Linked DNA regions of Oryzias latipes. Each later gene encodes a partner of the first gene's protein in a complex. Links are inferred from orthologs where the notes say so. Each region holds a gene or a part of one and is shown in the gene's direction. Other genes may lie near its edges. The genes, in order: cdk9, ELL-associated factor 2 and eaf1.

Region 1 (2,732 bases):
GGCTTGGCCCGGGCCTTTAGCCTGGCTAAGAACAGCCAGGGGAACCGCTACACCAACCGCGTGGTCACGCTGTGGTACAGACCTCCAGAGCTGCTGTTAGGTAAACGCCGCAAACCGCTGAGGAACGCTGGAAACGTGGAATTTAAACATTAGAATGTCGTCTTTCAGGGCTTTGTGCAAAAACGGAACATTCCTGCTGTTGTCTTGGTGATTTCACATTTATGTTGTTGGAAAGTAAATCTGCAGCAGATCAGCAAAAAAAGAAAGATGGGACCAAACGACAAGAAAAAAGCCTTCATAGTATATATTTAAGTACTTGTACACACATCACATCCAAGCATTTGTTCATCGAGGTCTATTTATTAAACATTACCGACCTTTGAACTCACGATATTCCCATTGTAAAAAACCACCCAGATCCAGGAAGTCTTCTGGTTCATCTGGGAAACGACAAAAGAATATTTAAAAACGGAGCAACGATGTCCGGCTTTACCACCTTCCCTGCTGCTACCAGCCCGTCGCACTGGGACAGACAGCAGCGTCTTTGTCCCGCCACGGCGCCAGGACAACAAGCCTTCAAACTGGGTCACGGCGGTACCGCTGAACGCCACTGTACACGCGTGTGCCGGACCATGGCAGGGATCCGTGTGGATCGGGGATCAGAAATAAAAGCCGTGTTTGGACACGGCTCAGTGTTTCAGGATGTCTGGTAGAAATCCAGCGTTGCAGTCTAGAAAACAGATCCGGGTCAACGACACCAAGAGGTCCGGTTATTCATCCGGTTATCCGTGACACATGTTGGAGCCTAAAGCTTCCTGTGCGTTTATGGACCGGTAACCATCTTGTGCTGTATCACTGTGAAGCAGTACTATGGAGAGTGTTTAGTAGTAATATTATGCGTGGTGACGACGCGACTCCAGTCGTTCATTTGTGAAATGATTTTTTTTAAAAAGTGACGTGACTGGATTCAGGGTTTGGGGCCAGAATGGAGGATTGACTGAGCTGGGAGTGAAGAAACAAGAGAACCAAAAGGTTTTAACGGACACTTTCTGCTTCAGTACTTCAGACGTAGATCGGTTTCTACATTTGAACTTGTTACAAGAAGAACCAGACCTAATAGAAATGTCGTCTTCCAGACATGAGGAGTGTCTGTCACTGATCATGTAAATATATGTGCACAGCTGTAAAATTAAAAAATGCGGACTGTAAATACTTTTCACAGCTCTGGTTTGGGGCTCCTATGCGACCCAGATGCTGCATGGCCCCTTTTTGCGGCCCCGACTCCTGCAGAAACGGTTCCGGAAAACGACGCGGGTTTCAGGTTACATGGCTGAAAACGTCGTGGTCGTCAGGGAAACGGGTCTTTAGAGGCTGACGAGTCGAGAAGCAGACGGCTTCAACAGGAAACCAATCGCGTTCCTGTTCTCCTTCCCTGCAGGGGAGCGCGACTACGGCCCCCCCATCGATCTGTGGGGGGCGGGCTGCATCATGGCGGAGATGTGGACCAGAAGTCCCATCATGCAAGGCAACACGGAGCAGCACCAGCTCACCCTGATCAGCCAGCTGTGTGGCTCCATCACTGCAGAGGCGAGTGGTCTTTGGGGGCGGGGCTCTGCGTTGCAGCAGCTCGCTGTCAATCATTTCTGTTTCTCCAGGTGTGGCCCGGCGTGGACAAAAAGTATGAACTGTACCAGAAAATGGAGCTTCCCAAAGGCCAGAAGAGGAAGGTCAAGGACCGCCTCAAAGCCTACGTGAAGGACGCCTACGCCCTGGATCTCATCGACAAGCTGCTGGTTCTGGACCCGGCTCAGCGCATAGACAGCGACGACGCCCTGAACCACGACTTCTTCTGGTCCGACCCCATGCCCTCAGACCTCAAGAACATGCTGTCCACTCACAACACGTCCATGTTTGAGTACCTGGCCCCGCCCAGACGGAGGGGGCACATCCCCCAACAGCAGCCCAACCAGAACCGAAACCCGGCCACGACCAGTCAGACGGAGTTCGACCGAGTCTTTTAGCCCCACTGGACGTCTTGGACCGAGTTTGACCGGAGACTCTGCTGTGAGGCCAGTTATGATCAAACGTTCAGGTTTTATGGGATCAGGAATGAAACGGACAGAAATGCTCCTTTATCCAGAATCTGGTAGCTTTTTCAGTTGAACTGATTGTTTTCATTCAAATGTTCTTTGTAATAAAGCAACACAATCGTGAACATTTATGGAAACGTCTGAATGCAAAGCAGGAAAGTGGTTTTTACTTGTGTGAGTCGGTTAGAGAGGAAGTGACGATGAGAGCCGCAGACACTAAACCCTCTGAGCTTTTGACTTAAACGCCGTCATTGTTCCTTTGGGATGTTTAGGAGGGGGAGGAGCTACCTGGATTCATGGTTTGTGGCATGTTCTACAATTGAGCCAGAAGGAAAACTAACGTGTTTGTTTACATGTGGAAGCACGTAAACATGGAAACCCCTGAAGGTAATTGGGTCCAACGACCCGGAAAACGGTTGACTGAGCCAGACCGCAGTACAGGACCGTTGTAGGTCTGTGTATTCCCGGCTGGATTCTGATGAGACCGTTTAGCGTGACGGCATCAGAACGCGACGTCTTTATTCCATCATGGATGGACGTGTGCACGGAAGAGCAAAGCCACAAACCTGAGAGGACGGACAGAGCAGAGGCTGTTCAGTCTAAGGGCTGCTCAGCAGACCCACCGGCTGCAGGAAAAGGCTT
Region 2 (3,654 bases), on another chromosome or scaffold:
ATTTAATGCCCTTTGACTGTACACTTAAAAGAAAAATAGTACTGAAAAAAAAACAAGGATAGATGTACTAGACCCCCTCTAGTACATCTATCCTTGTTTTTTTTTCAGTACTATTATTGTCAGCGATTGTGACACAGTCACCAAATTCTCAGTATTTGTTTGTGAATAACCTGGATGTAGCCGTAGTCTAAAAAATCTTGGATTCTAGGCATCATCTACTTGACGGTGAAGATGCACGGCATCTGGAGGTGGCTGTATTGGTGCTTTTTTTTTTTTTAAGGGCCTAACAGTAGCCACCATACTTTAAACCACTGTCTGGTCCATGTCGGTCTATCCAAAACACATCTTTGTAACAAAAATTGGCACTTTTTTAGCTTCAAGGTCTTCAATTTGGGCTGAGTGGTAACTTGATTGGAGTCATTCTGGTCTAAAACAAATCTACTGCCATATTCCTTAATGGTTGTTTGCTGCATTAGGCTCATTTTGATGTCAAATAACAGCATAAAGGGCCAAACGTCGTAAATAATAAGCTTCATATAAAACGATCGCTATTTGCTATCATCTAGAATGAAGGTACCGTCACACCGCTCAGCCCTACATACATCCACTTTCAGTAGCTGCTTTGTCCCGGGCAGGGTTTTGTGTGTTGCTGGAGCCTATCCCAACTTTTTTAATGACAAAGCCAGGGTACGTCCTGGATAGGTCACCAGTCTAAACACACTCTTCTTGCCGAAATTTCTCTTTTTAGGGGTCAAGTGCTCCAGTAACAGTCTTCAAGGGATCCAAGAGGCCATACATGAAGGAGTGCATCCTCATTGTGAACCACGATACAGGAGAGTATAGACTGGAGAAACTCAACAGCAACATAGCTGTGAAGAAGACCAGGTGAAAAACAAACTAAGTTACGTTTTTAATGAAGTCATGTCTTTTTTTTTACATCCTCGTACACCAAATTTCCCAAAGCCCTGTTGAAAATAAAGTTTTTCAACATTTGTTAAGTTGGTTGTTGGTTGCTGGTATGTGTTGCCCTCAGCGGTGCTGTGTAAATATACTAGAGATTGCCCGTTTGACCCGGACGCGTCGGCGCTTGTTTCACCTTTCACTTGCGTTTGAACAGTTGCTATTCTCTATAAAAACAAATAAATCCCAAGCAACGTTTCCCAACCAGTTCTGTTGTTTCCCCTGTATCGGAGTCAACGTCAGTTCATGGCACTTTGCCATGGCTCCTGGTAAAAAACGTTCTGTGGCTTGGGATCATTTCAACTTAGTTTCTCCTAATAAGGCAATACACTATTAACAAGGGGTTTAACGGTACACGTAGTTGTACCGAACCGTTTCAGTACGGCAATTTTGGTTCGGTTCACTTTTGTACCGTTTTGGAGGGGGGGTTGTTTTTGTTTTTTACCCCCCCCTCCCCAAATGTTTTCACTTTGCGCTGAGGCGGAACTAATGTTAACCGCGAGTTTCCGCCAAGACGCCATGTTGTGGAATGAGTGTGCCGGTGTGTCTGCGCTCGCGTGGTCAGGAAGGAGGGGATCAGCGTAAGAGAGTGTGTGAGCTCGCGTTCAGGGTGTGTTGCTCAGTTCTGCGGAACAGTAATAAAAAAGGTTTCCTCCAAAAGAACGAAGACTGGTTCATTTATTGACCCGCCCTGGAGGCTCTGAGGGTCCGAACGGGGAAGTGAACCCTGAAGGACGATCCGCCATCATCCCCGGAGAGGACCTCCCCTGCATTTTCCGACCACGGTCAGAAACCTTATCGCAGGAAAGGTTCAACGGCGATTAGGTGACTGAGGTGACAGTTAGCATGTCAACATATGGCTAATGCAGGCGCGAGGCCAGAGCTTGAGGACCCCCCCATCTCCTTACGCTCTCCTGAGTGGGAACACTTGGCTTTGTTGTCAGCATCCATGAAGGGAAAAGACAGTTGGATATGTCGAATGCTGTGTGTCAACATTGTTACACAAAGATAGCGTATGCCACAGTAACACATCTAATCCGTTAACAAACTTAAAACGGCATCACCGAACTGTAACAATCAGGTCTACAAGAAGAAAAAATGTGCAAGTTAAAATGTATCCAAAGTTTGTGGTTTCCTGAGTTGTATTATTTTATATAGCAGATCACCTACATAGGTCGATTTTATTTATTGTTATATAAAACCAATAAATGCATTTTGTAAGTAATTTTTTTCTGCCTTTTTTTACCGAAAAAATACCATAAATGTACCGAAATGAGCCCCATGAAATTCTGAACCTGATGTTTGTTTTGCAGAGTCAAGAAAGCACTTCTCACAGAAATCCTCACACATTGTGTTGTTTTATGTTTTGTTTTTTTAAATTATAATTTCCACATTGAAGCGTTACAAGGAGCTTAGTTGAAGCAGATGATATACGTTCAATCCGCCACTAGATGCCGCTGTTCAGTGTGGTTTCAAAGCCCTGAATGGTTGTTTCATTTTTCCAGCACAATTACATGAGCCCTGTGAAAGCTTCGTGGAGCTTCTACTCTCATCCCTAAAATAAACTGAACTGGATTGATGAAGTTTCCATGTTGACTTGTTTAGACATTTGCAGCTTAAAAATATAAAGTGTGGGTTGTAAACTTGTCAACAACAACTCAATCCTTCCTTCTCCGTCTCATGTGCATGGATCTCCAGGGCTGAGGGCAGCAGCAAAATTCACTCTCGCCTGGAGCAGCAGACCAGTCGCCTTAGCCAACAGGTGAAGAGCACCACCACCACCAGCAGCAGTAGTAAGACCTCTACCAGCTCGAAGAGCTCTCCTGTCAAAGAAAAGACCTCTCCGGCGTCTCCCATGGATGACATTGAGAGAGGTAACAAGTTGTCAAATATGTTTTCCAGACATTTTTTCTGCTTGGACTAAGTTGTTCTGATGATTAAAATCACCATTTTTTGTCTGCTAAGTATATAATAACATCTGCATGGATTTCTGTCCTTGCTACTCACTGTGCAGAATTAATGGCAGAGGCGCGGGTCATGGACCAGCTGAGCAGCGGCGGCAGCTCCTCGGACTCCAACAGCTCGTCATCCTCCAGCAGCGAGGAAAGCTCCAGCAGCAGCGACTCGGAGGGCGAACAGGCTCGTGCACCGCCCTCAGCACCTCCTAACCAGAGCATGCCCATCATCACCACCAGCTCCAACAAACCCAGCCACCATCAGGAAAGCGGAGGGGGAATTATGAACACTCTAAGTAAGTACCCCAGTCGTTTAATGCTATCACAACCCATTACATGCCGAGGAATCATTAAGACAACCTTCATTTGTGAAGTCGTGGTCTCTGCTGTTTCTTGCGAAACATTCTAAATTCTAACGCTACCAATGCTCAAATGGCGGAGATGTGAGGAGGAAAGCAGCAAGGTGGATACAATATTGTCCGTTGGAACTTCCATGAAGGCAGACTTTTCTGCAAGGTTTGACAAACTGTTAATGGCAGTCGAAGACATAAAAAGGGAACTGAGTGATTGCGCTGAACGAGTGACGCAAACGGAGGTGCACATTTCCAAAACGGAAGATGACATCAGCGTTTTGCAGGCCAAGGTGAGCGCACTGGAAACAAAAGAAAAAGCTCTGGAGGACAAAGTCACGGATTCGGGGATTTGGGCACACACACAGATAACTGGAATCACAATAGGA
Region 3 (4,303 bases), on another chromosome or scaffold:
TCTTTAGTGACAATTTGTGTGATATTTACAAAATAAAGAAAATACTTTGGTACTCAGTTTTACATAAGTTCAAATAAAAAAACTTTCTAAAATGAAGCAATATAAAGGAGGAAAAAAGGGAAGAAAATATAGGACAAGGCTTATAAAGACATTATAATAAGAACAAAGTTGTTGTGGGAAATGCCTCACTTTTACAAACTCAACAGCTCGTGGGGAGAAGTCACAGGCGTAAACAAATATGTTGAGGTCGTCCTCCAGCAAAGGAAAGAGGCAGTTTCCCACGCCGCAGCCAGCTTCCAACAAAACCAACTTCTGGGACTCAAACTGTGAAGCAAAGCACAAGAATAACTGGACATTAGTTTAATAAGCTTGTTTGGCCATCTGACCTACAATATTTTTCAGCATCTTAAACTTTAAAGAAGCATAAATAGAGTATAGTTTAATATTTTAATATTACATTTAAGTAATTAATGTGAATATATTATTCATATTAATATATTTTAATTTATTAATTAATATATGATTTAGGGTTTTAAAAAATGGCGTAATTACTAGATAATTTAACATTTATAAATAATCTGAAGAAGAAGAAAGAAATCCCTATTTGATAGATAGAATGTTCTACATGTTAAATAGAAGATTATTTATTTTGTGAGTATAAAACAAGAAATAGAAACAGATGAAGACTGGTAAGTCCATGTATAAAAGTAATCTTACCTCACGACACTCTTTGAGTTCTTCAAATTCCCTGGTTGTCCAGTGTCTGTCTTTGAAGAAATTTGTGGCGTTTCTTTTGTAAAACAAGTCCCAGTTTTTTCGAGCTTCTTTCTCCAGTTTTATTTGTTTGAACTCAGATACAAGAACTCGCTCAGTTTTGAATCTACCCTGCTCCTCCTGGGTTAAATCTCTGGAGGAAGATGTTTTCGTTTGTCCGGACAGGCATGTTGGTGTGTCGTCCGTAGACTCGGTATCTTCGGCTCGGTTCATCATATTTCCACGCTGCTTTAAAGTTTTTGGAGATTTTTTTCCGTCTTTCTTTGTACAAAGTCATTAATTTACGACATTTTCAGTTGTTATTCCTGAACATTTATGCAGTTTATTACGTTTTCAATAAAACAATATAAAATAAAAGGTTGAATAAGCTAAATCTACAATAAAAAACCCTACTTCAATTTCAAACAATTCTTTTCATTTCCTCTGTTGTGTACGTTCACGAAATCCTTCCGATGAGTGCACGTAATTGCATTCCGCGTTGCCATCTGGCTTTTTATATAAATTGTTTATGAAACTAAAATGTACTAAAATAATTCTGTTTGATAAAAAACTAATCTAAATGCAAATTATCATTTAATAAGACAACCAAGTTTTATCACAGTTTTTGCCGCCGTCTGATCTTAGAGGTAGTTCATAGTCGAACCAAAATCAAAAGAGAGCACAGTGACGTCAGGGATGTTTTGCTAACTGTTAGCTTCTGCAGCTAGTTTTATCTTCCAGTTGGATTATCCTGTTTCTTCCCAGTTGCGACTGTTAGCTCACTTCTTATTACCAATATACGTAAATGTTAGACTTTTAGACAAACTGAACCATGAACGGTAGTACAAACCCGCTGCTGGACAAAGAGGAGCATGTTTTGAAGCTCGGAGAAAGCTTTGAGAAGAGGCCAAAATCTTCCTTTCACACCATCCGATGTGAGCGTGAGACCGCGTTGTGTTTACAAGACCTTTAAGTTCTTAACAAACTCTGGAGTGCGGCTGGTTATCTGCTGTAAATGTAGAGGCTCTCTCTCCAAGACTCTCTTCAATACTTTTCAGTCATTTGAAGATAAAAGCAGTTTGTTTTTTTGGTTGAGCTTTTACACTTTATGCTATTAACTACCCAATACTTATTTTACTACACCAAAGTTTATCTAATTTTTTGTGAGAAACAAGTTTTTTATATTTGCCTCCAACCAGGACTCATTTTTTAGCCTCCAGCTCCACATGGAGTGGCAATTGAAATTCTCCTTCAAAATAAAATGCAGATCCTATCTGTTGTAATAAACACAATCTGGATTGTTGGGGCATAAATGCTGAATAAAACAACTGGATGCAGGGACAACGGTTTATAGTCTTCATCGTGTTTCTTGTTCAGTGTGGTATTTAGAGATATCCAGTTTTTCTCAGAGGATTCGTGTTGCTTTATTGAAGTAGATGTTTGAAGTAGATGTTTCACAATATAGGATTTATTATTGATACCAAAACACTTTTATTGTGACGCCTAGGCTTGGAATTGCATTTTATTTACACTAAAAAGCTTTTCTGTTTACTTTTATTAAAAAAATTCATACTGTTATTCACTCAGGTTCAATCATATTGTTTCCATGACCAGTTATGTGAAGACAGTTTGAAAAATGTAAACAAAAATTAAAATAGAAATGCAAAAAAAAGAAACGATTCAATTGCTTTGAGTCAAAGCCTGTGTTGTATTTTGAACTTGTGTGTCAAAATAGACTTTGGCTGGACTTGGGAGAGAAACCATCCGTGTTACAGAGCTGTTGTAGTAAAAGGGTTTTATGATGCATGTGATGTCCTATTTTAAACACTGACCTCCCCGCGTCACAGTATTCCATTTACTCATTAGTTCACTTTTAGATCTCAGTAAAAGTCACCTTGGGGCATTCTCCGGAGAAAGTGGTCATGTTAAATTCAAACTTTGAATGCAATTGATTTATAGTGTTATAAAACATATTCAATTTGTTTTGTACAGAACAAAAAATTATCTGTATTAAATTAGCATTTTATCTCATTTATTATAGTTGATAGAATTACAAATGCAGCCAGGGAAAACAACCCACATTATTTTTTTCATCTTATGCTAGTATGAAATTACTGTAATTGCTTTTTTGTATTTTGGTTGTTTTTCCCTTCCAGGTAGTTATTCTCCAACTGTAATTATAATTCCATATATGTGTGAATGCCAGTTCACGGTGTTTCCCTCTAAATAAAAAAATAGGCAATCAGGGAGAACACAAATTTGACTCGATACATTTCATTTCCAGATGACTTCAAACCAGCATCGATTGACACCAGCTGTGAAGGGAAGCTACAGGTCGGAAAAGGAGATGAAGTTACAATAACGTTACCTCATATTCCAGTAAGGCTTTCCTCTTTTTAACAATCTGGTCAGAGATGCATGCACATCATGATCTGCCTGATCTCTGCTGACTCATGTTTTCTGTCACAAAAAGGTCTGACAGCTGTTTTGATCAGTCACAGTGCAGTCAAAAAATCTAAGCAATCATGTGTCTAAAAAAATTATGTTCTGAATGTATCCTAGAATTGTGACTGAAAAAGTCTGTTTATCTTCACTATAACACTGCTCTTGAACAAGATGATGTAGTTTTTTTGATTTTGATGTAACCTTCTAAAAGGGCCCTTTTCCAAGCTTTAAATACATAAAACTGCAACTACCTGTTCTTTGTCTTTCAGGGCTCCACACCTCCAATGACAGTATTTAAAGGAAACAAGCGACCGTATCAAAAGGATTGCGTGCTCATCATTAATCATGACACGGGCGAATTTGTACTGGAGAAGCTCAGCAGCAGCATCCAGGTTAAGAAAACAAGGTGGGATGTCAGTGTCCTGGTTTCCAGAGTCCTGCTGACTTTGGGTAGTAGATGTGTATTGTCTATAAGATCTTTAAATTGCTCAAGATGAGGAAAAGTTGGCTGATGTATGTATCTGTGCGAACAGAGCGGAGGGCAGCAGTAAGATCCAGGCTCGGATTGAGCAGCAGTCGGTTCGTTCCAGCCAGCCCGGCTCTCAGTTCCGAGCCCCAACCAAGCCGGGAACTGGGATCAAAACATCCCCATCCCCATCTAAGGACAACCCCTCTCCAGAGCCTCAGCTGGACGACATTAAGAGAGGTGAGGAGGTTCCTGCACTGTTGGTGTTTTACAAAGTCATGATTTCTCAGAAAAAACCCTGCTAAAGATGACAAAGAATGAAAAACATTTGGACAAATGTGAGTACAAAAAAAGACAAGACCTTGAAATATGAAATGCTGATCTTGCTGCTGTCGACAGAGCTGCGGGCAGAGGTGGAGATGATTGAACAGATGAGCAGCAGCGGCAGCAGCAGCTCCTCAGACTCAGCCAGCTCCTCGGGGAGCGGCGACGACAGCAGCAGCAGCGACGGCGAGGGCGATGCTCCCCGGCCGCTCAGCCAGAACTCCCCCAGCCGCAACCCCATGGCCAACGGAGGGATGGAGCGCCAGCAGGGCAACAACCAGCTCATGAACACACTTCGTGAGTACTTCAGGACTA

The links.
Region 2: cdk9 (region 1) and ELL-associated factor 2 share a complex: the UniProt entries of both Homo sapiens proteins name them as parts of the super elongation complex. The link is inferred for Oryzias latipes from reciprocal best matches to the Homo sapiens genes CDK9 and EAF2.
Region 3: cdk9 (region 1) and eaf1 share a complex: the UniProt entries of both Homo sapiens proteins name them as parts of the super elongation complex. The link is inferred for Oryzias latipes from reciprocal best matches to the Homo sapiens genes CDK9 and EAF1.

The regions. Positions count from the first base shown.
Region 1 is NC_019870.2:30,294,961-30,297,692, reverse strand, and holds the end of cdk9 (cyclin-dependent kinase 9), read left to right. Parts: coding exon 1-100; intron 101-1,438; coding exon 1,439-1,587; intron 1,588-1,655; coding exon 1,656-2,021; 3' UTR 2,022-2,227; downstream 2,228-2,732. UniProt on the Homo sapiens protein: Protein kinase involved in the regulation of transcription.
Region 2 is NC_019879.2:4,940,195-4,943,848, reverse strand, and holds part of ELL-associated factor 2, read left to right. Parts: intron 1-748; coding exon 749-885; intron 886-2,658; coding exon 2,659-2,834; intron 2,835-2,974; coding exon 2,975-3,211; intron 3,212-3,654. UniProt on the Homo sapiens protein: Acts as a transcriptional transactivator of TCEA1 elongation activity. Acts as a transcriptional transactivator of ELL and ELL2 elongation activities. Potent inducer of apoptosis in prostatic and non-prostatic cell lines.
Region 3 is NC_019874.2:26,172,661-26,176,963, reverse strand, and holds the start of eaf1 (ELL-associated factor 1), read left to right. Parts: upstream 1-1,439; 5' UTR 1,440-1,585; coding exon 1,586-1,688; intron 1,689-3,037; coding exon 3,038-3,132; intron 3,133-3,467; coding exon 3,468-3,604; intron 3,605-3,731; coding exon 3,732-3,904; intron 3,905-4,063; coding exon 4,064-4,285; intron 4,286-4,303. Other genes in the region: mettl6 (methyltransferase-like protein 6), read right to left, coding at 190-324, 718-990. UniProt on the Homo sapiens protein: Acts as a transcriptional transactivator of ELL and ELL2 elongation activities.